Linked DNA regions of Macaca fascicularis. The protein of the gene in region 1 interacts with the protein of each later gene in a pairwise test. Links are inferred from orthologs where the notes say so. Each region holds a gene or a part of one and is shown in the gene's direction. Other genes may lie near its edges. The genes, in order: PSME3, EAF1, PRR13, TNFAIP8L1, WDR25 and EAF2.

Region 1 (3,308 bases):
CTCGTGATCCACCCATCTCGGCCTCCCAAAGTGCTGGGATTACAGGCTTGAGCCACCGCGCCCAGCCCCAAGAACCTTTTCTTAAAGCTTTATGTGTACTTAGGAAATTGTGCAGAAATTAATAACACAAACTATGAGGCTGAGGAAGGGATTAAACTTGCTTGGAGGGTATCTTGTGATGGACATGTGGGTGTCAAAAGAAGGCTCATCCCTGCCTCTTTGTATCCTTAGCCCACTTATAAGAAGCGAAGGTTGGATGAGTGTGAAGAAGCCTTCCAAGGTAAGAGGCACCCTTACCTTACCTCTCCTCACCCCACCCCTGACTTGCAACCCTGAGAAGCAGGTGGATCTAGTTCTCCCGACCAGGAGGCAAGATCTGATCTCACTTCCCAGAGGTAGCATTCCCAGCTCCTCCAAACATGCTTGTTATTTAGTGCTCTTAACCTGGTTTTCCAATAAACAGAGGGTTTAAGACTTTTGTCATGTTTCAGATGCTCATCTGTTGTTCTTTTGTTCCACACATTCTCGTTGATTCTAATAGTGGTGTCTTGGTAGGATTGTGACAAAGGCAGAGGTCATAGCATCTGATAGGTATAGGAAAAATGAGAGAGAGACGGGATGCTGTGTCCTTCCCTCTTCCCTGATCATTTGACCTTCATATCTCTGCCAGGAACCAAGGTGTTTGTGATGCCCAATGGGATGCTGAAAAGCAACCAGCAGCTGGTGGACATTATTGAGAAAGTGAAACCTGAGATCCGGCTGTTGATTGAGAAATGTAACACGGTGAGGCACAGGCTAGTGACCTATGGGCCGGCCCCAAGTACCCCCCGTGAAGTGCAAGAAACAGTGGATGTACGGGTGGTATGGGAATTGGCAGACTAGATTTTTTTGTGGTTTTTTTTTTTTTTGAGATGGGGTCTTGCTCCGTCACCCAGGTTGGAGTGCAGTGGCGCCATCTCGGCTCACTGCAACCTCTGCCTCCTGGGTTCAAGCGATTCTCCTGCCTCAGCCTCCTGAGTAGCTGGGTTTACAGGTGCCTGCTAACACACCCGGCTACTTGTTGTGTTTTTAGTAGAGATGGGGTTTCACCATTTTGGCCATGGCTAGCCAGGCTGGTCTCGAACTCCTGACCTCAGGTGATCCACTCGCTTCAGGCTCCCAAATTGCTGGGATTACCGGTGTGAGCCACTGTGCCTGGCCAGACTAGGTATTTTGGCTTCTGTGTTCCTGGCATCTGGCCCCAGCCGTCTGAATTGTGTACTTAATGGCTTCAGCCTTCAGGCAAAGGTCCTCATATATGTTTTGACCTCCAGGTCAAAATGTGGGTACAGCTCCTGATTCCCAGGATAGAAGATGGAAACAACTTTGGGGTGTCCATTCAGGTAATGTACTTGAATTACGAACTGGGAAGAGCGGCTTGGGAGATACTCTCATCTCCCCTGCGTTAGCTTTTTTTCCTTTCTCCTTGGGGCTGCTGTGGATGTCATGGAAGTGGCTTTTGATGCACCTGTTGTTTGTTTGTTTTAGGAGGAAACAGTTGCAGAGCTAAGAACTGTTGAGAGTGAAGCTGCATCTTATCTGGACCAGATTTCTAGGTAGGGCTGCTTGGGCTTGGCCGAGGCATTGGGGGCTGATGAGGTGGTGGGCACCATCAAGGGTCTCCTGCAGCTTCCTCCTCTTCTCTCTCCTTTCAGATATTATATTACAAGAGCCAAATTGGTTTCTAAAATAGCTAAATATCCCCATGTGGTAAGTAAGTGGTTTGTGGCCTGAGGGTGGAGGTGGCAGGATAGTGAACAGTGACTGTTACTGGGAAGGAGCTATCTGGGAACAGTTGGGCCTTGGGGACTAGCTTTTTCCTCTACCCTCCTTGCAGGAGGACTATCGCCGCACCGTGACAGAGATTGATGAGAAAGAATATATCAGCCTTCGGCTCATCATATCAGAGCTGAGGAATCAATATGTGAGTAACCTCAGTCCTTGTATAGTTGCTGTGGCTTCACTTAGTTCTGTCGAGAGTATTCTTGAAATTCTCTGAAGGGCTGAGATGAAGGTCTGAGGTAAAATTAGTAGACTAAATTCTGTTCATCAACTGAGTGTTGAGAACCATGAAGTCCTCTAGCGGGGTTTCTCTCTTCTTTCTGCCTGAGAGGAGGGGTGTGCCGTACAGTATGGTTAAGATATCGGTGTTAGAGTCAGACAGACTTAGGTTTGCAACCAGGCTCTACCTGTATTGTGTGATCTCGAGCAAATTGTTTAAGCTCAAACTTCAATTTCTTCTTTAAAATGGGACTGGGGCCGGGCGCGGTGGCTCAAGCCTGTAATCCCAGCACTTTGGGAGGCCGAGGCGGGCGGATCACAAGGTCAGGAGATCGAGACCACAGTGAAACCCCATCTCTACTAAAAATACAAAAAATTAGCCGGGCGCGGTGGCGGGCGCCTGTAGTCCCAGCTACTCAGGAGGCTGAGGCAGGAGAATGGCGGGAACCCGGGAGGCGGAGCTTGCAGTGAGCCGAGATCACGCCACTGCACTCCAGCCTGGGCAACAGCGTGAGACTCCGTCTCAAAAAAAAAAATAAAATAAAAAAAAAAAATAAAATGGGACTGGGCTGGGTGCAGTCGCTCATGTCTGTAATCCCAGCACTTCAGGAGGCCAAGCCAGGTGGATCACCTGAGGTCAGGAGTTTGAGACCAGCCTGACCAACATGGTGAAACCTTGTCTCTACTAAAAATACAAAATTAGCTGGGCGTGGTGGCACATGGCTGTAATCCCAGCTACTTGGGAGGCTGAGGCAGGAGAATCACTTGAACCCAGGAAGTGGAGTTTACGGTGAGCCAAGAGCGTGCCATTGCACTCCAGCCTGGGCAACAAGAGTGAAACTCCGTCTCAAAAAAAATAAAAATAAAAATAGGCCTGGTGTGGTGGCTCACGCCTGTAATATCAGCACTTTGGGAGGCCGAGGCGGACATATCACTTCAGGTCAGGAGTTCGAGACCAGCCTGACCAACATGGAAAAACCCTGTCTTTACTAAAAATACAAAAAAAAATTGGCGCATGCCTGTAATCCTAGCTACTTGGGATGCTGAGGCAGGAGAATTGCTTGAACCCGGGAGGCGGAGGTTGCAGTGAGCCGAGATTGTGCCTCTGGACTCCAGCCTGGGCAATAAGAACGAAACTCAGCCTCAAATAAAAATTAAAATTAAAAAAATAAAATGGGACTGAAGAGGCCGGGTGTGGTGGATCACACCTGTAATGCCAGCACTGTGGGAGGCTGAGGCAGGTAGATCACATGAGGTCAGGAGTTTGA
Region 2 (4,218 bases), on another chromosome or scaffold:
CAATCTCTTGACCTCGTGATCCGCCTGCCTCGGCCTCCCCAGGTACTGGGATTACAGGCATGAGCCACTGCACTGGGCCCTCTTCACATTTTAAATTAAGAACAGCTCAGATAAGGCGTAATATTAGCTTACCTCTCTACATGATCTTAGCTCCTCAAACTCTCTGGTGGTCCAGTGTCTGTCTTTGAAGAAATTAGTGCTATTTCTTTTGTAAAAAAGATCCCAGTTTTTCTGAGCCTCTTGTTCCAATTTGTGCTGTTTAAAATCAGACACCAAAGTTTGGTCTCTTTTCAGTTTCTCCTCTTCTTCAGAGCTGAGAACCCTTGCCTGCAGCCTCTTCCTTGGCAAAGAAGTCATCTCAGAAACTGAAGGTAACACTTAACACAGCTGAAGATTCTCCATCCCCAAATAATATGAATCCATGCTAATGGATCAGATGCATTTCCTCAGGTGAGTTTCACGCCTCAAACAGCACAGGGGCTTCGCAGACAAAAGAATGAGATTCTGGTTAGTGGTTCTAGAACGGTTCAAGACGCCAGGTTCAATTCACCAAATGTTTATGAGATGCAGACTGTACAAAAAAAAAATCCTCCCCGCTATATGAGAGGTCACAAGGACGACAAAGACAACAGTCCCTAACTTCAGAGGGCTTAAATTCATTCAGTGGCCAGGACTATCTCATGCACCATACTTTTATTCAAACCAGATGAGTCAACTATTACAATAAATCGATTTAGTTTAGGAAAAAAAAGGACGCTCTCACGAACTGACTGGGAAACCTTGCGAAGAAAATATTACTCAATTTTCGGTGCCCGCGAAAGGGGTGACTTAAAAACCACAATGGACTTAGCTGGAAGCGGGTGGTCAATTGCCAGATACAAGTGAGGTCACCGTTTTCCAAGGGTCGGAGCTCCGTTTTTTCGGGGGAAATGAAGCTAAGCCTGGGTGGGCTCATTTCCTGACCGCACTCACAAGAGGCTGTCGTAGGAACCAGAGGGAACGTCACTTTTCAGGGACTGAGGCCCTCGCACCGCCATCACTGCGCAAAGTGGAGAAAGAGACCCAGTGACGCGTGGCTGAGGTCCCGAGGATCCATCTCAGGACACTCAGGATAGACTAGGCCGCATGGGCCCCTGGACCCTGAGGAGGGCGTCCGTGATGGCTAGCCTACCCGCGTTAATCTAGTCAGCCACGCTCAGGGATCACCATCATCAGTTCCTAAATTCACCTGTAGGGGTAGGGCCAGGCGCACTCACCCTACAGCCAGCCCCAGATCTCGGAGGCAGAATATGGGAGGAACTGCGAAACAACCCTGAGCCAATTCTGAGAATCACAAATTGGGAATCTCCGGGAGGAGTTCTTTCGCCATGGCACCGCCCCCGCCACTTCCGCTAGGAACCCGGAAGTTCCTACCCGACGCCGGAAGTCCCCCGGCCTTGCCCCTTCAGATTCTTCCTTTATCCCGAGGCAGAGAACAGGACTTGCTTCTGGACCCGGGTGGGTGCCGGCTTTGCTCTCCTTGCCCCCTAGAGCGGTGTCCCGGGAGCACAGTCCTCCCAGACGCCAGCGCCGGAAGCTCCGATCGCGGCTGCGCCAGGAGAGCGCCGATCTGGGTGCGAGGCCGGTGCGGGGCCATGAATGGGACCGCGAACCCGCTGCTGGACCGCGAGGAACATTGCCTGAGACTCGGGGAGAGCTTCGAGAAGCGACCGCGGGCCTCCTTTCACACTATTCGTTGTAAGTCAGCGCTCCCCACGGTTCCCTTCGGCCGCTCAAGCCGCCACATGTCAACCTTGACTCCTTCCTTTCTTCTCTCGGCCCTTCAGATTCCAGGGAACCCCCTGCCAGCGTCAGTTACTTTCTCTCGAACCCCCAATCCTTTGGGACCTCGAGTTGGCCCTTCTTTTACCCAGATTATTTCTCCCAAATCTTCGTCACTCCCTACTATTCTTCTACTTTATAGTCTCAAACACTAGTTCCAAAGGTCTTTGGCCTCGTTTTGGTTCCATCCCTCCCCTCCCCCGACGTCGCCCCTAAGGCAAACCTCCCGCCCCTAAGGCAAACCTCCCGCCCCTAAGGCAAACCTCCCTCCCCCAAGGCAAACCTCCCCCCTCTTATCCGGGTCCACTTCTTCCTCGAAACCCCTCCCCTCCTTTCCAATGCTCCCATCAGGGTTCTCCATAGTTAAAAGACGCTTCTTGTTTATTACGACCCTCATCCACTCCCTCCGAACCCCTTCTCTTCCCTGCTTTCCTCCTCCGACTTGGTTCTGGACTCCCAGATACTGCGCTTTGTCCCCTTTACAGCCAAAGAATTGGCATCCTCTCTGCGCCTCAGAGTTTTCTTCCATCTCCTTTCTGTGCTTCATTTGACTTGGATGTCTTTTGAGGTCACCTATACCATACGGGCTTTTCCTCCAGACCAAGTTCCTTGTGGGTAAAGAGTCAAATCAGAGTTCGTGAGCCTGGGATAGGTTAAAGATTGGTCTATGTTTGGAAGCAGAAGAGAGCAGGCGTAAGGAATGGCCAAATAGTCATTATGCCGGACCTTTTTCTACATGATTATAGACTCTGTTGAGAGTGCACTTCCACCCTATGTCCTGGGTGAAGGTTTGGCAGTTAGGAATTGGCTGACAGAGCATCCCTCCGTGATTCATGAACTTCTGGTTTCCGTGGCGCTAACGCTGTTGTTAAGACTTGTTTTTGTCAGAGGACCTGATAGATGTGACTCAACACATGTGAAGAGGGCGTCTTAGATAATGAAATCCCATCTTTGTGTAGTCACTTGCCATGCCATTACTATGCTTCCTACTGACAGCAGATCCAGCTCTTTCAGAGAGGAGATTGGGAATGAGATAAGAACATCATTTCCTGAAGAGTTTACTAAGTTGATGTTCTCTTTTGGTGAAGGGCAATGTGGAATTTAAATCATACAGTTCATGTGTGCACCTGCCCTGCAGTTTGAGGCAGATGTGAATGTGAATTAAGATGGCTATTCATGTTGTACTCTAACTGCAGTTTAGAAACACGAGCAGGATAACTTGTGGAGATACAGTTAAGTTGTCTGCTATAAACTACAGAATTGTCTTGGTTAAAGCTGCAGAACTGGCTGAGAGTGGTGGCTGACACGATAATCCCAGTACTTTGGGAGGCCGAGGCGGGCAGATAGCTTGAGCCCAGGAGTTTGAGACCAGCCTGGGCAGCGTAGGCCCATCACTATTTAAAAAGAAAGAAAGAAAGAAAAAAAACAGCTATGGAACTTGAGTATGGCAAATCCTAATTTTGACAGTTTCTATGCAGAGTGAAATCAGCTTTTGATGATGCAGTGGCCTTTCGTATTTCATAGAGTTTACAGTCACAGGATCTTTTTCATATGCTGTTACTTTTGATCCTCACAACCCTAAAAAAGCAACTTATTATGGATGATGAGACCTTCATTTTCATCTCTCCCTTGGGAGAAGGGAATATCTTTAATAAAATGGCCTGTAAATTCTTTTTTCCCCCTAGAATAATCCAAAGGGGGTCAGAGGAAAAGTTTGTAGAGGTGTAGATGAAACAGGATTGTCCCTGAGTTGGTAATAATAGAAACTGGATAATGGTACACCAGGGCTCATTGTACGATTTTCTCTACTTTTGTATATCTGAAGTTTTCCATAATGAAACCGGTTTTTAAGAATTCTGAATTATTTTTATTTTTCATTCATCTGAGTAATAACAAATTTAATTCTTAAATGGAGATGTCCAGGAGGCCCTTATTATAAGTAACCTGGTGGGTAAGTGTTTTCTTTCCTTTCCCTTTAGATGATTTTAAACCAGCATCTATAGACACTTCCTGTGAAGGAGAGCTTCAAGTTGGCAAAGGAGATGAAGTCACAATTACACTGCCACATATCCCTGTGAGTTTATTTCATTGTTTTTTTAAATGTAGGATCACAATGGATCTTCATCTTTTATGTTATTGCAATTTAAACTTCCTACTTTTAAAAATGTTTAGATTTCTAAAGTGGCAACATAAGGGAAAAAAGGAATTTTGGGGAGTGGGGTGGGGTGGACTTCATGCTAGGCAGGTGCTTGATTTAAAAATAATTCTTGTAATCTTAGCACTTTGGGAGGTGGAAGTGGGTAGATAGCTTGAGTTCAGGAGTTCAAGACCAGCCTGGGCAACATGGTGAAACCCCGTCTGTACCAAAAATACAAAAAAATTAGCTGGGGGTGATGG
Region 3 (4,007 bases), on another chromosome or scaffold:
AGAAACGGGGTTTTACCATATTGGCCAGGCTGGTCTCGAACTCCTGACCTCGTGATCCGCCCGCCTCGGCTTCCCAAAGTGCTTGGATTACAGGCATGAGCCAATGTACCTGGCCACTTGTATTGTTTTCTTTAAAAAAAAAAAAAAAAAGTCTGGGCGCGGTGGCTCACGCCTGTAATCCCAGCACTTTGGGAGGCCGAGGCAGGCAGATCACGAAGTCAAGAGATGGAGACCATCCTGGCCAACATGGTGAAACCCCATCTCTACTAAGAAATACAAAAATTAGCCGCGCCTGTAGTCCCAGCTACTCGGGAGGCTGAGGCAGAAGAATCGCTTGAACGCGGGAAGCGGAAGTTGCAGTGAGCTGAGGTCGCACCACTGCACTCCAGCCTGGCAACAGAGCGAGACTCCGTCTCAAAAAAAAAAAAAAAAAAAAAAAAAAAAAAAAAAAAAAAAAGAGGCCATTGTAGCAATTCAGGGGAGAAATGAATCCAGGCGAGAGATGATGGGAGGTTTAGACCAGGGAAGACGGAGAGAAGTGGAGAGATTCCAGATGTATTTGTGAGACAAAACTGGTAATTTGGGGTAAGGGAGGTGAAGGAGACAGAGGGATCACGGAAGACCTCCTTGGTTTCTGGTTTAGGCTTCTTGACAGATGGCGGAGCTATGCAATTGAGAGAGGGAATCCTGGGAGAGATTATGAAATCTCTGTATTTTCCGCAAGAATGTTTGTTTGCTTCCCTTGCGAGTGTAAGAGGGAGCCGAGAACATTGAGGCTTGGGGCTAGGACTCAGCAGCTCCTCTGCCCTTGCCGAGAACTCTGTCTATATCTGTATTACAACACTTACCATAGTGTATTCACTTTACAAGGTATTGCACCCAGTGAACCATGACTAGCAGAGAGCAAGGGCAGAGTTTCTTCTCGGTGTCTCTAGGACTTTGCCCAGCAGCTGGCCCCGCCCCCTCTAGCGCTCTCCGCCTAGCTCCGCCCCCAGGAGATTTCCGGCTTCTCAGTACTTGCCTAGTCGTAAAGGGCTCCGGTCTGCAGCTAGAGCAACCGTTTCCTCCTCAGTTGGACCAGAGTGATTGATTAGTTTGTTGTCCAATCATCAGCCGAGTGGCCACATAATTACCAATTAGGCAGTAGCAGAGGCGGGTACCGAAGCACGGGGTCTGGGTGACTAGGTGTGACTAGGAAGTAAGAGCCGAGACTGCGAAGAACGCATCAAGTCCAGGCGGCGGTGGAAAGGTGACGTGGTATCTGAATTCCATGGGTTTATTCCTTTTCCCATTGCTGGGTTAAGAGCCCCTTCGCAGCTTGGGGCTAGGATCTTCATTTGCCTTTTTTCTTTTTTGGAGGAATTGGGCTGTGTCCATTTATTTAAGTATTTGAGGTTCTTGAGCAACTTCCTTCTTCGCCTCCAGGCGTATCCTTTTCTTAGCCTGAGGTGAGGTCCTCCCCAGGGAGAAAGTTGTTTGAGATCCTTTCTTACTCTGTGGGTGGTTAAAGGCCTCCGGACTCAGTTCCAGGAAAGGGGGATGAATGATGGGGGTGCCGAGACTCGCGGGCTATGCCCTCTTGCGAAGAGTTAGACGCTTCAACCTAGGTGGAGGGGCCCTGGGAACTAGATTCCTGTGTTAGGAACCAAGTAGGTATTGAGGGCGAAGAAACAAGTGGAAAGAGACATTTCTTTCTTTTTTTTTTTTTCGAGGCGGTGTCTCGCTCTGTTGCCCAGGCTAGAGTGCAGTGGCGCGATCTCAGCTCACTGTAACCTCCGCCTCCCAGGTTCAAGCGATTCTCCTGCCTCAGCCTCCCGAGTAACTGGGATTACAGGCGCCCGCCACCGCGCCCGGCTAATTTTTAGATTTTTAGTAGAGACGGGGTTTAACGATGTTGGCCAGGCTGGTGTCGAATTCCTGACCTCGTGATGCACCCGCCTTGGCCTCCCAAAGTGCTGGGATTACAAGCGTGAGCCACCGCGCCCAGCCAGAAAAGAGATGTGTCTTATGTGGAAGTCGTGGTAGTTCTCCAGGTGGGAGAGCCTACTGTGGGGTGGAAGACGTTAGGGCTGGGCTCCGGTGCTAAGTCCACTTCCTACCTCTAGACTGTCATCTTTTTTGCCTCATTTCTTTCTCCTCAGGCTGGAGGACACACCTAAACATGTGGAATCCCAATGCCGGTAGGTGTTTGGGGGTTCTGTACGACCCCTAACCCTTTTTCTGATGGACTCTGTAACAGGAAGTTTCTCTATCAGCTGCCCCATCCCCGACCCGCCACACCCGCAAAAGCAAAGTCCTTAGTCTACAGCTGACCAGTGCTTTTTTATTTTATTTTATTTATTTATTTTTTGAGACGGAGTCTCTGTCGCCCAGGCTGGAGTGCAGTGGCGCGATCTCGGCTCACTGCAACCTCCGCCTCCTGGGTTCAAGCGATTCTCCTGTTTCAGCCTCTGGAGTAGCTGAGATTACAGGCGTGCGCCATCACGCCCGACTACTTTTTGTATTTTTAGTAGAGACGGGGTTTCACCATGTTGGCCAGGCTGGTCTTGAACTCCTGGCCTCATGTGATCTGTCCACCTCGGCCTCCCAAACTGCTGGGATTACAGGCTTGAGCCACCACGCCCCACCGGCCTGACCAGTACTTTTGTCTTCCTCAGAGTTCACTGTCTCCCTCCTCTCTCCAGCCCTTACGGGGACATTCCCCTTTTATCCTCAACTCAGGTTTGTCTCCCCTACCTTCTATTCTCCTTTGTCACTTTTCCATTTCCCTTTAAGTATTGGGTGAGAAAGAATCTCTTTCTTTTTGTTGTTTGTTGTCGGAGACTCTGGGGAATACTAATGTTTATAATCTGCTTCTTCCCCCAGGGCAGCCAGGGCCAAATCCATATACCCCCAACATCGGGTGCCCTGGAGGTTCCAATCCTGCCCACCCACCACCTATTAACCCACTCTTTCCCTCAGGCCCCTGTCCTCCTCCCCCAGGAGCTCCCCAGGGCAATCCAGCTTTCCCCCCAGGTGGGCCCCCTCATCCTGTGCCACAGCCAGGGTATCCAGGATGCCAACCCTTGGGTCCCTACCCTCCTCCATACCCACCTCCTGCCCCTGGAATCCCTCCTGTGAATCCCTTGGCTCCTGGCATGGTCGGACCAGCAGTGATAGTGGACAAGAAGATGCAGAAGAAAATGAAGAAAGCTCATAAAAAGATGAACAAGCACCACAAGCACCACAAGCGTGGCAAGGTCAGTACCCTCTGGAGCCTGGCTAGGGAAGGGGTGCCCCCTCAGAGGGACTAGGTAGGCAGGGGTTGGGTGAGGGGGATTCACATTCTGTGGACGTGGGGGATGACGATTGTGTCACTCTGGTCGATGATTCTTCCTTTTTGTAAAAGATTGCTACTGGGAAGAATCTGATTATCTTGAAAAGAAACATCAGGCTTCTCCTATCTGGGGGGAGCTAGGGTGAGCCTTAAAATAGATTTTTAGAATCAAAAGCCAAATCTTTTCTGCCCTACTCTCTCCCAGAACTTTTGCTCCCCTCCCCGCAGGTGCATATTCTAGCAAGTTGGACCCCCTCACTGACATTATCAAAACATCAATTAAAGTCATTCCTTTGACAAAGCAAAGTCTTATAATAATTAACAGAATAATAATATGGCCCTAGTTCCTGGAGTTCTTTCTCTCTTTCAGTGTTCTTAGGGCCTTGTGTTAATTACATGGGCCCTTTGCCCTATCATCCAGCAGAAAAAGTGAGGACAAGAGCAGTCAGTGACTCAGCCTCTAACAGCCTAGGACTAAGGAGGTTTTATACTCAGCCCCAAGGCTGAGTATCTTTGTTTTAGAGGACTGTTAAAAATTAGTAAGGATCATGCCTGTAATCCCAGCACTTGGGAATTATTAGCTGGGTGTGGTGGCGCATGCCTGTAATCCCAGCTACTCAGGAGGCTGAGGCAGGCGAATTGCTTGAACCCGGGAGGCGGAGGTTGCAGTGAGCCCAGATCTCACCACTGC
Region 4 (4,297 bases), on another chromosome or scaffold:
AGCTGGCGCTGCGCAGCCGGGGAGCTCCTGTGTGTCCTGCAGGCTCATTCCTATGGAAATTGAGGCTGGATTTGGCGATCCTCTGATGGTGTCTCCAGGCGTCCTCCACCTCACCCCAAAGATTGATCTTAGCCCCACAACCCTGGGTTACATTCATCCCTTCTAGTGGCACAGAAATCTGTATTTTTAAATTTTTAACTTCTTTTGTTCTTTTTTTGTAGAGACAGGGTCTCCCTATGTTGCCTGGGCTGGTTTCAAACTCCTGGGCTGAAGGGATCCTCCTGCGTTGGCCTCCCAAAGGTCTGGGATTCCAGGTGTGAGGCACCACGCCTAGTAGGAACCTGCATTTTTTTTTTTTTTTTTTGAGACGGTCTCGCTCTGTCGCCCAGGCTGGAGTGCAGTGGCGCGATCTCGGCTCACTGTAAGCTCCGCCTCCCGGGTTCACGCCATTCTTCTGCCTCAGCCTCCTGAGTAGCTGGGACTACAGGCGCCGCCACCACGCCCAGCTAATTTTTTTTTTTAAATTTAATTTTTTTTTTTTTGAGACGGAGTCTGGCTCTGTCGCCCGGGCTGGAGTGCAGTGGCCGGATCTCAGCTCACTGCAAGCTCCGCCCCCCGGGTTTACGCCATTCTCCTGCCTCAGCCTCCCGAGTAGCTGGGACTACAGGCGCCCGCCGCCTCGCCCGGCTAGTTTTTTGTATTTTTTAGTAGAGACGGGGTTTCACCGTGTTCGCCAGGATGGTCTCGATCTCCTGACCTAGTGATCCGCCCGTCTCGGCCTCCCAAAGTGCTGGGATTACAGGCTTGAGCCACCGCGCCCGGCCAATTTATTGTATTTTTAGTAGAGACGGGCTTTCACCGTGTTAGCCGGGATGGTCTCGATCTGCTGACCTCGTGATCTGCCCGCCTCGGCCTACCGAAGTGCTGGGATTACAGGCGTGAGCCACCGCGCCCAATGCATTTTTACATTGCCTCTCTGACGCGAAAGGTTCCCCGAGGCCGAACTTTGAGAAACATGCTTCTGCCGAAATTCCTATTACCCAGGTGGGTAAACTGAGCCCCAGAAGGAGGAAGGGGCCCGTGCAGAACCACGTGGTTGCTCTGTTTTGCCTTTTGGCTCTCCGGTCTCTTCCTGTTGGTGCCTCTGTGCCTCCCTCCCCAGGTTCTCCGTCTGTCTCATACTCTTATCTTTTCCCTTTTCTGTGGCCGGCGCCCCGACTACGGCCTCGCCCCCGCATCCGGGCCCCTTAGCTATTCCGGAGGAATCCCCCAGACCCGCCTGACCCCGCCCCAGGCTCCGCCCCTTCCCCCACCTCCTCCCGTCGCAGTGCCCTGCTTCCATTGGCCTCTTCGTACATTGCCCCCCTGTCATTGGCTAATCCGAAGCGCTCGGCCCGCCCTCCATGCCTGGCAACTCTCCGGTCCCTTCCTGCGGGCGGGGCGAGTGGAGGGCGTGTCCTGCCGAGGGGCGAGGCAAGTGGAGGGCGGGGCCGCGCTGCCGCCCCGCCCCGGCCCCGGCCCCGCTCCGGCGCTGCTCCCACTGCCGCGGCAACGGCCCCAGCCCACGGAGGCGGCTGGACTGACCCCCGACGGTTGGACGCACGGACTCTGCTCCGAGAGCAGGTGAGCGAGAAGTGCCGGGGCGCCCCCTATTTCAGCGCATCCCGGGGACCACCTGGCCGCCCTGTCTCTCCCGCCCGGTAATGCTTCTGCACCCCGCCGCCTGTCCGTCTGCATTCCTGCCTCAGTTTCCCTCTGTCTCTCTGTCCCTCTTGCTGTATAGGTTAGGGAGAGACAGGTTGAGTCTCAATTGCCCCCCTTGGCGTGGGGCTCTGCTTGGGACCAGCACCCCCACCCCTCCGTGGAATCTAGTGGACTCTGCCCCCTTTAACTGCAGGGCCACAGGTGCTCAGGACAGATTCCAGAACCCCGAGGGCATTCCAGGAGGTGGGCAGCTGGGCCAGCCATGCGGAGGTGGGCATGACTGTAGCTTTGACTGTAGCTTCTGGCTAAACCAGGCATCGGTGGCGGGGAGCCAGGCCTAGGCCCGCCCAGGCCCACCCGGACTGGCCCCTAACGAACTCCCAAGTGGCCTGTGGGGCCGTGGCCTCAGTTTTGCCAGCTGTGAACTGGGACCGTCGCTGCCAAGGTAATTGGCAGGTGATCTGAAGGACGTCTGTCGCCTCCTGGCCTTTTCTGTGAAGTCGAACTAGGTCCATTTCCTGGGATGGTAAACTAAGGCCTAGAAAGAGGCCAATGCTTCCAATGTTTGGCCAGGGAGGTGGGGACACAGGAAGGACAGAATCTGTTTTCTCTGCATCCTCACATTTTCCAGCACCTTCTCTATGGTGGGGGGAAGGGCTGGGGGAGGAGCAGCTCTAGGTGTAAACAGGCTACCAGAGGTTCTTTCCTGAGCCAGTCCCAGCTCAGCTGGGGGCGGTGAACGCCTCGGGAGGTCCCAGTGGGGTCAGCCCAGTCGTGGCGGAGCTTGGGCAAATCTAGATTTGAACTCTGCCACCCGCATGGTACCTTGAACCAGTTTTTCAATTCTGCTGAGCCTGTTTCCTCATCTGTAAAACAGGAGTGGGTCGTAACTCACCGAATTACGACTGCTGGGGGATCAGGTGCAGGAATACAGGCCCTGCTTGTAACCCCCCTGACCCTCGCCGTGGCTCTGCCCCAGTCGCACTGGCCTCCTCCTGTTCCTCCAGCACCCCAGGCGAGGTCCTGCCTCAGGGCCTTTGCATGGGCTATGCCCTCTGCCACCACGGCAGGTCCGAGGGCGCCAACTTTGAAACATAACAAGCTCCCTGTATGGGCCGGCCCAGGACCTGCATAGGCAAGGGCTGGGAGGGGCAGAGGAGGGGCCGTTCAGGGACGCTGTACCTATGGAAACAGTGAACAAAGGGCTGTCTCCAGCCACACAAACACCTGGGTGAATTGGGAACTGGCCAGAGGCTGGAGCAGCCTGGGACACAGGTGGCGGGTGAGTGCTTAGACCCCTGGGGGGACTATGGGCTGGAGGGGACTTGAATCCTGCTCTAATCGTGGGGTACCAGGGGGTCCCTAAAGGAAGCGGCTCTGCAGACGGGTGCAGGTCTGAGGCCCCGCCGTGTGCCCCTCCCTCTGTGTGGCCTTGGGCCAACTGTCAGGTGCCCCCAGAACCTCAGTTTCCTCGTCCCCGTTCCTCCAGGGGTCAGCCCAGGTGGGCGAGGGGTCCTTTGATTGCCTGACAATTCAGTATGGTGGGTTCCAGAGGACTCAGTGTCCCTGTCTGTCCAATGGGGCCACGAAAGGGTGCCTTGAGGATAAAACTCCAGCCATTGACGGGGAAACACTTCTCCCAGAGAGACGTCAGCGCTAAAAAATGACTCACACTTGCCCAGGTACAGCCTCAGGTGTTACAGACAGGGAGGGGCGCGAGGAGGCAGATCGAGAGGGAGGAACCGCCTGGTTCCACAGCCTGCCTGCCCCTTCCCAGCATCCCCCGACACCCCTCAGCAGACAACTTCCCTGGAATCACACCCACCCGAGCTTTGACGCAGGGACCTCTGGCAGAGTTCCTGGGATCTTGTAAATTCCCAGCTTCTAGGCCTCAGTTTCCCCATCTGTCCAATGGGGCTGGTCATCTCCTTTTTCTTGTGGAAAGGGGCTGAGATAACTGGGGGGAGGGAGGGTGCTTTGAGGGGTGGGGGTGATTCAGCAAGACATTGTCAAAGGCCCGAGGAGGGGATTACAGGACACAGTGCTTCTAGAAGCTTCCTAAGGCTTCCATCCTTCCCCTCTGGGGTGAGCTCTGGGAGAGAGGAGACTTGAACCTCAAATGTGCTGTGGACTAGGATGGGGAAAGGATTGCGCTAGGTTAAAGGCTGGGTTCAAATTCTGATTCTGCCACATCACTGCTTTATAAGCTCGTGACCCTCTCTGACTCAGTTTCCCCATAACCAAAACCTTGCAGGTCCATCTAGAGAATTTCCCAGCCTGGGCAACATGGTGAAACCCTGTCTCTACTGAAAACAAAGAAAAAGAAAAAATTAGCCAGGTGTGGTGGCGCGGGCCTGTAGTCCCAGCCACTCTGGAGGCTGAGGTGGGAGGATCACCTGAGCCCAGGGAGGTTGAGGCTGCAGTGAGCCGAGATCACACCACTGCGCTCCAGCCTGGGTGACAGGAGTGAGACCCTGTCTTAAAGAAAAAGAAGAGAATTGGCTGGGCGCCATGGCTCACGCCTGTAATCCCAGCACGTTGGGAGGCCGAGGCGGGCGGATCACCTGAGGTGAGGAATTCGAGACCAGCCTGG
Region 5 (2,610 bases), on another chromosome or scaffold:
TTGATTGGGCTGAAATCAAGTTGTTGGCAGGGTGTGTTCCCTCTGGAGTGTCAAGGGGAGAATCCCTCCTGGCCTCTTCTGGCTTTTGGTGACAGCCAGCATTCCTGGCTTGTGTCTGCATCTCTCCAGCCCTCCAAGCCAGCGTCTTCACACCACCTTCACTGTGTGTCACATCTCTGCACCTTCCCTTTGTTTCTTTTTTTTTTTTTTTTCTTTTGTAGAGATGGGGGTTTTGCTGTGTTGCCCAGGCTGGTGTTGAACTCCTGGGCTCAAGCGATCCGCCCGTCTCAGCATCCCGAAGTGCTGGGATACAGGCGTGAGCCACCACGCCCAGCCTTGGCTTCCTTTCTGTAAGGCTGCACGTGACTGCATGTAGCGTGACATAGGATCATCTCCTTATCTCAGAATCCTTAATTATGTCTGCAGAGACCCTTGGTTTTGACCCTGTAAGGTAACATTCACAGGTTTCAGGAATTAGAACATGGGTATATTTTGGGGGGCTTTTTCCTGCCTGCCACAGGGACACAGGCAGGTTGTAGAAGCTGGGAAACATGGAGGAAATTTGGGTCCCTCTAGCCTCCAGAAAGAAGTCCAGCCCCGCCAACATCTTGAGTTCAGCCCAGTGAAGCCGCTTTCAGACTTCTGACTTGCAGAACTGTGTGATGTAAAATGTGTGTGTCTTGAGCCACCAAGCTTGTGGCGATTTGTCATGGCAGCGATAGGAAACCAATGGAGACACCCAGCAAGGGTCTGGAAGCAGGCCCCAGGTCTACAGCACCTACTGTGTGCCTGTCTGTGGGAGGGGAAGCTGGAGCGGAGCTTCCCCTCAGAGCAGAGTGCCGGGTAGGGGGTGTCTTCTCCGACCCATTTGTGGCTCTGCTTTTCTCAGGAGAGGTTCACCTGCCCCAGCCTCGCCTTGCACCCGAGAGAGCCCGTGTTCCTGGCACAGACCAATGGCAACTACATGGCCCTTTTCTCCACTGTGTGGCCCTACCGGATGAGCAGACGGCGGCGCTATGAAGGGCACAAGGTACTTCTGTCCTTGTCTCCCAGGCGAATGCTGAGCCCCAGCCCCAAGCCTCCTGGCAGTCCTGGATATGGGCCCCGGGGTGCATGGAGCTTCTGTCTGGGCGGATCCTGCTTTCTGTTTCCTTGGTGAGTGCATGCCATGTGGCCTGCTATCTCTTCAAGTCCCTGAGCCACATCTGGTCCTCACCCCAGGGCCCAGGTACTGGGCAGGAAGCAGTAGTTGGCTCACACAGACAGGTCTCAGAGGTGGGTGGCGGGAACAGGACAGAATGGTCATGGGTGTCATTTCTGCACCCTCCCCTTTCCACAGTGAGGCCAGCCTTGATGGGGTGAAAGGGGCTGGGGGCTGGGTGACTGTCCCTGAGGCCAGACCCCTCAGCTGGGCTGGAGCTGATCTCCCTGGATTTGCTGAACTGGCCTTGGGATGTGAGCCCGCATTAGGGCTCTACAGCCTCATAGGTGGGACTTGGGCTTTGACCTCAGGGAATGGGGTGTGAAGCCCAGCTCTGCTCTGTCAGCTCGGGGCTTCGGCCTGTTCCTCTGTAGAATGGGTGTACTCACCCCAGCTTGACAGGTGCAGCCTACTCACCTGCTGTGTCCCTCTCTGCAGGTGGAGGGCTACTCAGTGGGCTGTGAGTGCTCCCCAGGCGGTGACCTGCTGGTGACGGGCAGCGCCGATGGCCGGGTCCTGATGTACAGCTTCCGCACGGCCAGCCGGGCATGCACACTGCAGGGGCACACGCAGGCCTGTGTCGGCACCACCTACCACCCCGTGCTGCCCTCCGTCCTCGCCACCTGCTCCTGGGGAGGGGACATGAAGATCTGGCACTGAGCTTTGTGTCACTGAACCTTCCCGTTGCCAGCTGGGCTCTGGGACTCCCCTCTTCCTCAAGGGTGTATGAGAGGAATGAGCACAGAGGTTGGCTGTGGGTCCTGGGTACCACCCTCTGAGCCTCAGTTTCCTCATCTGTAAAGTGGGGACAAAAGTCTGTTTGCCTCAGGAGTGTGAGGACTACAATAGTGAAAGTGCCTGGCAGGCGGCCGGCGATGCCTAATAAACGTGTGTTTTGCTATTTGTTAAGTGTTTTCAGCAATAAGTTTGCATTAGCGGCTTCTTCTCACCTCCTTCCTCCCAGGCCTGCTGGAGCTCTGGAGACAGAGAGAACTGTGCGAGCTTGAGATGGGATCATCTCGCTCTGGGGGTCCCAGCAAGGGAGTCCTGAAGTGGGGGTAGTCTGTATCTTTGGTCTGCCCTCAGGGATTCTGTTGGAGCTCAGTGCCCCACCAGACTCACAGGCCCCAGCCGCTTGCACTCCCCAGGACTGTGGCCAGCTGGGCCCCTGGTTGGCCCAAGCCCTGGGCCCCTTGGGCCGCCTCTTTCCCCACCAGTGTGCGTGCTGCACACGCAGGTGTGCTCACCTGCTGAGGGAGCCTCGTGGAGAAGTGAGGGAGGGACCCTTGAGGAGCCTGGAGGAGCTGGGCTGGGAGGAGGCCTGGCTCCCCAGGTGCCTGCACAGGCTGACTAGATGGAAACCCCAACAGAATTGTAACTGAGGGGCCACTGCAGGAGCCCAGGGATCT
Region 6 (3,500 bases), on another chromosome or scaffold:
TATTTTATTATTTTTGTAATATTTGACAAAATTATTATGATAAATCCATTAAAATTTAATGTACTTTTATAAACTTCAAAGACAAACATACACAAATAATTGTTTAGAAATACATATATGTAGGATAAAGCAAAAGAATGACAAACATAAAATTCTTTCAGGTTTGATGGGGCAGGGACAAAAGATATGGGAGGAGCATGTAAGTAGATGTAGTTTATTAGTAATGATCCAGGTTTATTTTATGGCCAACAGAATAGTATAATGAATGACATGTACCCATCACTGAGCTTTAACAATTACCAACATTTTGCTAATATATATTTTTTAATCTAGTGTCTTACCACTTTTTTCCCTTGGCATATTTTATAGCAAATCCCAGACAATGCACCATTTCATCAATGCTTACTTCTGTATCTCTAACTGATAAGGACATTTCTACCTTTATCTAAGCACCATGCTATTGTCACAAATAACATAATTAATAATAATACTTCATCCACAGTCACAATTTTGTGATGATATCAAAAACATGTTTTTACAGACATTTGTCTGTAAAATGTCCTAACTAGAATCCAAAAAAGATTTCTACATTGTATTTGAATACTATATTTCTTGTCTCTTTTATTCTTTAAAAGTCCCTTCCTTTTCTCTACACCCCTTTTTAAATTTATCCTTTTTAGAGGCAGGGTCTCACTGTGTTGCCCAGGTGAGAGTGCAGTGGCTATTCACGGGTGTGATTATGTTACACTAAAGCCTAGAACTCCTGGCTTCAAGCTGTCCTCCTGCTTCAGCACTCATCCTCCACAAGTAGCTGGTACTACAGTGCCTGCACCTGGTTCTCATTCCCTTTTTATGCCATTGGTTTGTTGGAAAAACCGTATTATCTGTCCAAGAGAATACACCTACATTCTGGACTTCAAATTACTTCTATATGGATGTATTTATCTTGTTCCTCTATTCCTTCTGTTTTCTATGAAATGGTAGTTATATATCTAAGGGCAGGCTGGATTACGGATTATTTGGGGTTTGATAAGAATTAAATTCTTTGGGGTTTTTGTGTGGTTTTGGGCAAGAGTATTTTATGGATGGCACTGAGTACTTTTATATTACATCATTAAGCACATAATGTCTGCTTATCTTACCTTTAAGGATGCTAAAATTAATTAGTGGTTTAGTGTAAAAGGTGTTCCTTAATATGCATGGGGAGGTACTACTTTAAGAAAATGCAAGATTTTAAAAATTAAACTTACAATGCAATAAGAAAGAAGATGAGGAGGCTGGGCACAGTGGCTCATGTCTGTAATCACAGCACTTTGGTAGACTGAGATCGCTTGAGGTCAGGAGTTCGAGACCAGCTTGACCAACATGGTGAAACCCCGTCTCTACTAAAAATAGAAAAATTAGCTGGGCGTGGTTGTCCATGCCTATAGTCCCAGCTACTCTGGAGGCTGAGGCAGGAGAATCACTTCAACCCGGGAGGTGGAGGTTACAGTGAGCAGAGATCGTGCCACTGCACTCTAGCCCAGGCAACAGACCAAGACTCTGTCTCAAAAAAAAAAAAAAAAAAAAAAAAAAAAAAAAAAGAGGACTAGAAAGTATGATTCAAAGCTCTGTTTCCTTATTCATAAAATATATTGGTTGTATTAGAATTGAATCTCAATTGCTCGTTATAGGCCAGTGAAACGAATATTTACGGTCCCAAGGTGAGTACTTCCTCTCTTCCCTTTCCTCAATGACAGCAGCTTTGAGATTTCAGCCTATCTTCATCTGTCTTTTTTACTACACTCTTTGGATTCAGGGTAGTAAATTTAGGTAGTTTATGGGTGACTTGAAGTATAACATAGAAGGAGAAACACAGAATCAAGATTTCAAAGGCCTTCCCAACTGAATTCCTATGATAAATTTTAAGTAATAATAATTAACTTTTTAAACAGGGTTCAACTCCACCAGTAACTGTTTTCAAAGGTTCAAAAAAACCTTACTTAAAAGAATGCATTTTGATTATTAACCATGATACCGGAGAATGTCGACTAGAAAAACTCAGCAGCAACATCACTGTAAAAAAAACAAGGTATGTGGTTTAATGAAATAAATTATATTATAAACATTAATTTCTAAGGAAATGTCAGGAAAAAATTTACTATATTAAGTAACATTATAATATAAGGTTTATTTATGTGTGGTACAAAAATGTTTTAATCTTTTTCTAAGTTTAAGTTTGGTGGCGGGCGCCTGTAGACCCAGCTACTCAGGAGGCTGAGGCAGAATGGTGTAAACCCGGGAGGCGGAGCTTGCAGTGAGCTGAGATCCGGCCGCTACACTCCAGCCTGGGCGACAGAGCAAGACTCCATCTCAAAAAAAAAAAAAAAAAATTTGATGGAGATCCTAAGCCAAAAGCTTTTTACCACATCACCCTGTGATATATAAAAGCTTGTTTTGCTTCTAAGTGCTTTCTATAGGTATAGGTATACTTTTTATCCTATTGTAGATACTTCTGTATAACTGGATTGAAGGGAGCCATTATACATTCTCTAAAATAATTTCATCTTCATTAGTAAAAATTTATTGAGTACCTATGCTGTGTAAGGTACTAGAAAAAGGAAAGTTTGCTCTGCAAACGCCTCAGAACTTCTGCGTTTTATTCAGGTAAACAGACCATTCCATTTAAAAAGTCAATAGGAGAATATACCCATCTCAAATCCTTTTTGGAAATAGGTGAGACATTACTTACCATGTAATATAAGGATGTTTGCTCTAAAAGCCATGCAAATAGTATAGACAAAAATTGCTCTAGGAATTAAGAAAAAGGAGAAGTAATGGTAGATCGGAACATTCAGGGAGGCCTTTTTGAGGTACCATAAGGGGAGGTTAGGATCATAAGAATTACCTTGGGTGCTTGTTAAAAATTAGTTCCTGAATCCAGCCTTAAATCAGGGAAGGATCCTGGGAAACTCTATTTTTTAATATCCCCTCACCTCTACCATCTATGCCCTGCTGTGATTCACACCAGAAGAAAGTTTGTGAAATACGATTTAATTGATTAGAGAGGAGATGAGGGTGTAAGCCAAGTTTGAAGGCAGGAATGTATCTGACTTATTCAGGGCCAATGAGTAAGACCTATTTGAACGGAGCAGAGGTTTGTCTCTGTACCCGTGTATATATTTTGGAAAGTAGGGGGCGATATTGATATTGGGCTAGAGGTAAGTTTGTAATTTCGTTGGTTGAGGTTAGTGCCATCAATATTAACTAAGAAATTAGGACATTATCTTGCTGGTAGTGGTTGCATATTAAAGTCTTTTTAACCAGGGATTGGCATGTTTACAGTTTTGTTTTAAAACATTAATTCAGTAGAAAAGCTGAGTAAATGAAACAATGCAGGAATCAGAAAAATGTATAAACCAGGATTTTTTGAGAGCAGAAATGAAGAGAAAAGTGAGGTTCTAAAGACTCTTTGAAGGAAGAACTGACAGGATTTGGTGACTGGAAATGGGAGAGGCAAA

Evidence for each region.
Region 2: the proteins of PSME3 (region 1) and EAF1 interact in binary tests that used the Homo sapiens proteins (3 or more experiments, as listed by UniProt). The two-hybrid records come from large-scale screens. The link is inferred for Macaca fascicularis from reciprocal best matches to the Homo sapiens genes PSME3 and EAF1.
Region 3: the proteins of PSME3 (region 1) and PRR13 interact in binary tests that used the Homo sapiens proteins (3 or more experiments, as listed by UniProt). The two-hybrid records come from large-scale screens. The link is inferred for Macaca fascicularis from reciprocal best matches to the Homo sapiens genes PSME3 and PRR13.
Region 4: the proteins of PSME3 (region 1) and TNFAIP8L1 interact in binary tests that used the Homo sapiens proteins (3 or more experiments, as listed by UniProt). The two-hybrid records come from large-scale screens. The link is inferred for Macaca fascicularis from reciprocal best matches to the Homo sapiens genes PSME3 and TNFAIP8L1.
Region 5: the proteins of PSME3 (region 1) and WDR25 interact in binary tests that used the Homo sapiens proteins (3 or more experiments, as listed by UniProt). The two-hybrid records come from large-scale screens. The link is inferred for Macaca fascicularis from reciprocal best matches to the Homo sapiens genes PSME3 and WDR25.
Region 6: the proteins of PSME3 (region 1) and EAF2 interact in binary tests that used the Homo sapiens proteins (3 or more experiments, as listed by UniProt). The two-hybrid records come from large-scale screens. The link is inferred for Macaca fascicularis from reciprocal best matches to the Homo sapiens genes PSME3 and EAF2.

The regions. Positions count from the first base shown.
Region 1 is NC_088390.1:63,893,856-63,897,163, forward strand, and holds part of PSME3 (proteasome activator complex subunit 3), read left to right. Parts: intron 1-231; coding exon 232-280; intron 281-670; coding exon 671-783; intron 784-1,313; coding exon 1,314-1,382; intron 1,383-1,527; coding exon 1,528-1,595; intron 1,596-1,694; coding exon 1,695-1,749; intron 1,750-1,876; coding exon 1,877-1,963; intron 1,964-3,308. UniProt on the Homo sapiens protein: Subunit of the 11S REG-gamma (also called PA28-gamma) proteasome regulator, a doughnut-shaped homoheptamer which associates with the proteasome. 11S REG-gamma activates the trypsin-like catalytic subunit of the proteasome but inhibits the chymotrypsin-like and postglutamyl-preferring (PGPH) subunits.
Region 2 is NC_088376.1:32,924,052-32,928,269, reverse strand, and holds the start of EAF1 (ELL-associated factor 1), read left to right. Parts: upstream 1-1,418; 5' UTR 1,419-1,634; coding exon 1,635-1,737; exon of another isoform or gene 1,738-1,974; intron 1,975-3,800; coding exon 3,801-3,895; intron 3,896-4,218. Other genes in the region: tRNA N(3)-cytidine methyltransferase METTL6, read right to left, coding at 133-357. UniProt on the Homo sapiens protein: Acts as a transcriptional transactivator of ELL and ELL2 elongation activities.
Region 3 is NC_088385.1:60,246,428-60,250,434, forward strand, and holds the start of PRR13 (proline-rich protein 13), read left to right. Parts: upstream 1-1,207; 5' UTR 1,208-1,249; intron 1,250-1,359; 5' UTR 1,360-1,448; intron 1,449-2,141; 5' UTR 2,142-2,161; coding exon 2,162-2,180; intron 2,181-2,865; coding exon 2,866-3,239; intron 3,240-4,007. UniProt on the Homo sapiens protein: Negatively regulates TSP1 expression at the level of transcription. This down-regulation was shown to reduce taxane-induced apoptosis.
Region 4 is NC_088393.1:5,401,429-5,405,725, forward strand, and holds the start of TNFAIP8L1 (tumor necrosis factor alpha-induced protein 8-like protein 1), read left to right. Parts: upstream 1-1,497; 5' UTR 1,498-1,623; intron 1,624-2,937; exon of another isoform or gene 2,938-2,986; intron 2,987-4,297. UniProt on the Homo sapiens protein: Acts as a negative regulator of mTOR activity.
Region 5 is NC_088381.1:168,621,259-168,623,868, forward strand, and holds the end of WDR25 (WD repeat-containing protein 25), read left to right. Parts: intron 1-889; coding exon 890-1,030; intron 1,031-1,639; coding exon 1,640-1,861; 3' UTR 1,862-2,110; downstream 2,111-2,610.
Region 6 is NC_088376.1:161,387,226-161,390,725, reverse strand, and holds part of EAF2 (ELL-associated factor 2), read left to right. Parts: intron 1-1,934; coding exon 1,935-2,071; intron 2,072-3,500. UniProt on the Homo sapiens protein: Acts as a transcriptional transactivator of TCEA1 elongation activity. Acts as a transcriptional transactivator of ELL and ELL2 elongation activities. Potent inducer of apoptosis in prostatic and non-prostatic cell lines.